Schizosaccharomyces pombe: one gene and its partner. Changing the gene in region 1 together with any one later gene gives a genetic interaction. Each region holds a gene or a part of one and is shown in the gene's direction. Other genes may lie near its edges.

Region 1 (3,761 bases):
TGCGAAATCAAATTACTCATAAGCTACCTCTCTGGTTATTTTTTCCCAATGTACTGTATTCGTATTGTACCCCATTCTTACCGGATACATTTATTAATAGAGCAAGTTACGAAAAGCAAAATCAGAGCGAGTCTATTTTCGGACTTGTGTGTCTAAGTATAGTCAAGGAGCGGAGACAACACTCGTAATATTGTTCCTTCACGCCCTCCTCCCCCTTTCCCCTTTGAATTGAGTATCGTACACTGCATCAGTAATAGGGTCAGCGTTTCCAATTGACTGACTGGTTGAAAAGTGAAGGATTACATACGAAAATCCCTAAACGCGATCATCAGCGCATTCCGAATTTTCGTATCTTTCTATCTCTTCGATTCTTTCTTTAGCCTTGCCAAGTATTTTGGCTGGCCCATACGCTTTGCCTGACTATCGCGTCTAAAAATAAAATCCCCTTTCCAAAACCTTGGATTAGGTGCATGGGATTACTATGATTCTTTCCTAATAATTGCTAATCCCGCTTTCTTTCTATTTTTTTCTACTATTACTGCAAAGTCAGGTTTGCAATCCAAGTGGACTTTAACCATACTCAAAAGGTACCTTCTAACCTTCTTTCCATTATGTCCATCTTCCTCCTCCAATTAAAGGATTTTCCTACTTAGGGCTCATTTAATCGAGGCTATCCCACCTTTTTCATGAAAAAGTATTCGGCCTTGTGACCTCCCCTTTTCGAAAAGAGAGATGAAGAAATAGTTTAAATTACCCGAGTAGCCGAAACGGTGAATTTTCAGAATGTCTACATGAGGAACATAATGTACACTTATACGCGTTTGTATATTGAGAATTCATCGGTAATGTTGGCAAAGTGCTACGCATCTTCGGATAAACGTGAATGGAAGACATTTAGCCCCTAATTTTGGTGTACTTATGCAGGAAAAACCTATCCCTTAACAATTGCCTATGGAGGGAAAGAGAAAATTTTTTTCGTTCACTATTGGAATTTATTTTCTTTTGCATAAATATGTACAATGGTATGTTACGATGCTGGCGTCGATACTTGTCTAAGTTAGAACGCAGTGTGTATTACGAAGGTTGCATTAAATAGACGTTGCGGTTTCCTAGTTATTGCTATCCCTGTATATATATACACATATATATGTACAAAAACACGTATTTACACGCACTTATAAACGCACACAGACAACAAACAAATACCTAATTTTATAATTTCAAGTTGTTGAGACAGATTAATTTATTTATAAAACTTGGCGAGAAGATATTTTTAAACCTGACATTGAAAAGGAGGGGACAATTGTTAAAAATATAGCTTCAAAGGCAAAAATTTCTCCAAAGTGTTGATTCTTCCTCTTTCTATTTTAAAAATAGCACACAAAAACATCTAGTCATTTAATTTGTCTTTGTTCCTCTCATTTGTAAACACTTGAAAACCACCCGTTCCGGCTATCTTGTTTACTAAAAAAATTTTTTCTATTAATATCTTTAGTTTCGTCGCCCGCTTCAACCCAGAGTACAAAAACAAAAATAGCTTCCTCGTTTTTAAATCTCAACTTAGATTCGTCTAATCGACTATCAATTACGAGCACAATTGGAGAACTTTGCGCTCTTGTTTTCTCAAGCGAAAAATCTACCCTCAAGAGATCCGGTGCAGAGAAGGGAAGACAGGGATAAAAACTGTTACATAAATTCCAAGAATAAACCCCATCTGCTGTTTTCTATTTGTTCCTTATATACTTGCCCGTTTGCTCGCTCGTTTGCTCGTTTGTTTTCGTCATTCTCCCTATACCTGAATTTTGGTTAACCTCGTCGACTCTTTTTCTCTTTTCTCGTCAAACCTTACTAAATATATACAACGTCTAATATGGGGCGCAAAAAAATCTCCATTGCACCCATAACCGACGATCGTTCAAGGAGCGTAACTTTTGTCAAACGAAAACAAGGTCTCTACAAAAAGGCGTATGAACTCGCTGTGCTAGCCGATTGTGAAGTCGCCGTCACAGTCATTGATCGGAAAGGACGTTTGCACGTCTTTTGTTCCTCTGACTATCAACGTACTCTTCAACAACTCAACACTCTCAGCATATATGAGTTAAAAAACCGTTCTCATTTTTCGTCATCGCCTGTCGAAGAGTCAAGTACCGTGTCTCCAGAAACGACAACTGGTTCATTTACTCCTCTTAATAATAAGCATTTGAAGTCACAGGACCAACCTTTATCAGACTCCCAACTCGACACTGGTGATTCTCCTGCAACATCGGAAACGACTGTTCAGGACTATAATCCTCAAGTTCAGTCTTACTGTCGTCCCGAGCCTTTATCGTCTAATCACGTTCGTTCTTGTCCTCCATTTCCTCCCACACAACATCATCATCCCCATACTCGTCCTCCTCATCATCCACCTCATCCTCATTTTCATAACAATAACTATCCACCGCCCTATTGTTTCCAATCTCCTGTGTCTCCGGGTGCTACAGTTCCATTGCAACATCATTCTCCGTACCCTAGTGATAACGGCTTTCCTGGTCATCGTAGGCAAACGCACTTCGCTCCTTACTACTATCCACAAAGAGCTACGTCTCCTTCTTTGAAACAAGTTCCAACTTATCTGGGTACTCATGTACTGCAACAAGACCAGTCCACCTATGATCAGAAGGTCCTTATGCCTCCAGCAAGTTATCTTTCTTCACCTAATCAATACACCTTAAAAAATGTCTCTCCTGGTAACCCGGCTTGCCCTCCTTTTCTCTATGAACATCCAAATCCACAGCTAACGCCTGAGATGTTTGATGTTAAACAAGGCTCACCTATTCCGCCTACTGCGTATTCGGGTAGCAGTTGTGAGACTTCTCAACATACCATTGCGAATACTCCATTTTTGGCATATGATCGCTCTCCTTCCTTAACGAATCAAGAAGCTGAATCATCCTTCCAAGACGTAGCTTCCATTAGTCCACATTCACTCAGTGATGTCAAATACTAAAGAATATCATAGAAGTCAATCTCCCTTTCAAATGTCTTCATCATGTGTCCTCCCTGGATCTAATGAATCGTATACAAGTAATAATTTTAGTTGGCATACATCTCGATCAAATCCTTACAATCGTTTTCTTACTCAAACTGCATATGATTTGGAGCAATCCAAGCACCAATAGTTTACTGCCAAGCTGTGCGATGCCCATTTTTTTAATTTGACTTACATCGCATTCCAGTAAACAATTGTTAATACTAGGTCTATCAATTTATCGTTATAGTTGAATTACGCGAACGAAATTACTGACCTAGCAATAATTGAAGTTTGGAATGTTGTTCAATAAAATGGACACCTACCGATAGCTTATGGATTCAATGTGAACTACAAACCTAGCATGATTTCAGACGCTAGCAAATACAAATACCTGAACATTTCAGATGTGCCAATGGTTTAACTTTGTTAACTTCCATCTTCGGTATTTTGGATCCTCCCTGTTATGAATTCAAGATGGTGATTTTCGGTTTAAATATTTATTTGCAAACTGCGGGCAGTTTATCACTTATTTATTCAGGCACGCATTTTGTCTATTCAAGTGGACTAAGTTTTTTCGTGATTTTGTTTTAACCACCTCCTTCCACTTCATTAATTAATTCACCAACATGTAACATTCGCGGACCAACCTTTATGTTCGCATTCAAATTTTTTTTTGGAGCCGCTAATTTCTAATTAGACGTTTCTCATTCGTTTTCAAGGTTATACATGGTTTATTTTCGTGTGTTTG
Region 2 (3,761 bases), 3.5 Mb from region 1:
AAATGTCTTTCTTTATGATTTTTTCTCCAATGACCCTACCTTGTTATTTTAGTCTGAACGGTCGAGCACCGCTACATGCTTAAGTTCATTGATATGTCTAATCAATTATGGTAAGCATAACTGCCAGCTACTCAACTAGAGAGCTGCCGAAGAAGAAGTAGTTCAATAATAAAAGGGTTCGACCTCTGATCTGTGCCATATAAATTTAGCAACAAATTTGAAAAGGTTAAACCCAATATACTAAAACGAGAACACAACAGATATCATTTACATAACTCGTGATTGTATCAAAGAAATCATAATTCAATCAAACTTCGATATCAATCGTAGATCCATGGGTAAGGCATAAACGAAATAATCTTAAATGGAAGAGATATTTGCAGGATATGTGCTTTTATGAAAAGCGCAGCATATTATGTAGGAACATCTCGTGGTAAGACTGGGATAATGCTTTGAAAAGATGAAAATAATAATACCGTAAAAACTTTCGACTAGTGAAAATTTTTTTAAATGATTTGTGAGAGTCTCTGAGTTTCTATTCATTCACTTAACAATACCATCAACGTTCTTCCTATCAATTTCCCCAGTTGCTCGTTTCCCTCTTCCCCTCATTTCCCACAAAAATTTATTATCCCTTCCAATGCTATCATCCGCTTTTTCCTACTACTTACTCCTCAATATCCTTATGTGAGAGAATTCCCTACCGAACTTCATTTTTATTTACCGAATGCAGCTGTAATACCCTTTCAGGTTTACGTACTTCCGCTTTCGTTAGCACCAATCGTTAAATTCGCGTGGGAGAATTTTGCTTCGTTAAGGTACTCAGAGTTTTAACGTTTTTCGCTAAATCTACTTTTAGTGTAAGGAAATGATGGCTTTTGTTAGCTTATTTTCTAAGCTAGAAGGTCTGTTTATTACTTAAGTAATAAAAACGAAATTAATGATTTGTCAACTAACGATGCATCCCCAATACTTAGCAGATTAGAATGCGGTAGTTAATTATCATCGTGCTGTTAACAAATCTTTTCAGATGCACATTTGTACTCATCCAATAAACAGATGCGGGAGAGACTTCAACAATGAAGTAAAGCTTTTTTTCCCATTGATATATAGCATTGTATCCTTTTTGTTTCAAACTTGTCGAAATTTAGTGCATCAGTGTTGTGCTTGGCTTTCCAACTGAACTCTTTTACAGGCCTACGCACAAAAAAACTGGTTTGAAATGAAATGAAAATTAAGAAGAGCTTAGTTACTTGTAAGTAAATAAATGGATTAACAATTGTTTTTCGTATTCAGCGCTAAATAGAAAAGTAAACATAACTACTTAAAATTTTCTTGCTATGATGGTTACCATTTCCTACTAATACTTAGTTAAGTGGTTGGAAGTAAAATCTACCTCATCACCCGTTTACTTATCCCTGAATTATGTGGTGATACAGATAGACGTAGTGTTGCAGTGATCATAAAATTTATGGTACAAAGACTAAATTTACGTCCAAAATGAACTACAGCCTTTACTTGAGTTTTACATTTTTTTAATAATATATACATTACGCTCTTAAGGATATTTAATAAGTGAAGTAACTAGTTGTTCGGGATGGCCAAATCGATGATAGTCTTAAACTCAACATACCTTTTTGTTTTTACACCTATAGAAGATTTCACTGGTATTGTGATATGCTTCACGAATGTATACTGAACTTGTCTGGAATATGCTTTGGGGAGCCATCTCCTTTCCCATCCCTTAATATGTGTTTTTCCCAAAAGCGACCAGACACCAATTTTACAACATGTTCGTGTTCATGGTATTTCGATATTTGCTGCTTTTGTGAACTCGAATAACGTATTTAATCCAGCAAAGATAACCTCAGCGTATCGTGATAAATTTTTGATATCATAAAAATTCAAGTATATAAAGTCGTTGATTTTTGAAAATCCTTTCACACTCTTCGCGCAATAGAGGTGACTAAAAGTTTAGAACAAACTGACAGTTACGGACAATGAATTCGTTAAAGTCACTTTGCCTTAAATGTATTGTGACATTGTGTTTGTTGGTAAACGCTTTCGCGTTTGACTATGCATCACTACAAGAGCAGGACGAAAACCTATTAGCTGCCTGCCCTCAATATATTACAATTTATACTAATGGCCCAGTCCCTGGAACCACAACGATATATCCAACTTCCAATGTTGCATCTAACACATCTGAAAATTATCCTTATACGGGATCAAAATCTTTAAGTAGTTCATCTATTCTTTCTAATTCAACTATTTCTACTAGTTCATCTACCCCGATCACAGCTTCTGTTCCCACCAGCTCATCTATTCTCTCTAATTCAACTATCCCTACCACTTCACCGGTGCCGACAACTTCTTCCACCCCGACTAGTTCATCTATTCTTTCTAATTCAACTATCCCATCAAGTTCCTCAATTTCTGCCAGTACCATTACAACCACTATCATTTCTGGTTCAACGCAATTTACCACTACGTTTGTTGATCAAAGTATTGACACTGTTGAAGTGGTAATTCCGACTGCTGGTTATATTACGACTACGTTGACTTCTGGATCTAGTTACCCTGTCTCAACAACCACATTACAAACAGTTTCTGGAACTCAGTCAGGTTTAGTGGAGGTTATCACACCGTCTTGTGGATGCAATCCAGAGAACTCATTTCACTTGAGACTCGTGGGTGATTCAATCAATCCTTCATATGTTTATAAGAATACTAATGTGTCCGATCCAGACGAAGGTAACATGTACACATCTACTGAGGGAAACACCGAAGCAGTTAATGTTTTTTATTATGATCCTACTGTCGAAAGAATATTAACTTGTGATTGCGTACGACCTGTATATACGATATACACTGATGATCCAGATTCATCCTTTGACATTATCAAAAATAATAACGGAACCTTCACTTTTGTAGAGAGTTCTTCAGGGGAAATTCAGACTTTACACGTTAGCCAATATGGAGCATTATGGATCACATCTCCTGAATATGATGGAGAGACAGGTGGTATGGATGATGTAGGTTTTAGGGCGGACGATGTTATTCTCGTGGCCTATTGACTTTAAGGATTTATCCCATCTTTTACTGGACTTTAAAGTCCTTGTAAATAAATTTAATATATAATTTTGAATTGAAAAATCATACTATTGCTAACGAGAAGTCAATTTATTTAACAAATTTATGAGAATTCTGACTTGAACTTTTTGCACTAATTTACTTTGTCCGTGCCTTCTTCATTTGTCAATGTTAATTCCGATCTTTGTTGATACATAAAACCTTTTTATGAGCGAAAAAAATAATTTTACATTTTTCATAAATAAAAACCCCAAAATGTTTAGTTCGCAATTCTGTTCGCAGCAAAGTTAAATGCTTACGGACTTATTTATTTAATTATATAAAATAAATTTCAAATTTCCAAATTGATTTAAATTGCGGTTTATATTTGTTGAACATGTAAAATATGGCAAAAGTTGGAGAAGTAATAATTAATTTTTAAATTTATAAAACCCTTCCAATTTTCGGATGCTTTAACTTTCTTCTGAATATCAAAGTCTGGCAACCGAAAGAGAAAAAATGTATTTTTGTTAATTTTTCATTACTGATCAAAATTTTTTGTCGGATAATAAGCTGTTAAGTAGTTTATTCGACAGAAGAACACATTTTCATGGCAATGGTTCTTTATTTTTAGCAAGTCAACAAAATATTCTTACTTAATATATGTTCAAGCATAATCTGAATTCTAT

What was found.
Region 2: of mbx2 (region 1) and pfl7, changing one suppresses a phenotype caused by changing the other (phenotypic suppression), as found in Schizosaccharomyces pombe (one study listed by BioGRID).

Annotation. Positions count from the first base shown.
Region 1 is NC_003423.3:3,624,769-3,628,529, forward strand, and holds the start of mbx2 (MADS-box transcription factor), read left to right. Parts: upstream 1-1,870; coding exon 1,871-2,989; 3' UTR 2,990-3,761. UniProt on the Schizosaccharomyces pombe protein: Acts in transcription regulation. May bind to a MEF2-like typee II promoter sequence.
Region 2 is NC_003423.3:117,568-121,328, reverse strand, and holds pfl7 (DIPSY family glycoprotein Pfl7), read left to right. Parts: upstream 1-2,000; coding exon 2,001-3,077; 3' UTR 3,078-3,437; downstream 3,438-3,761.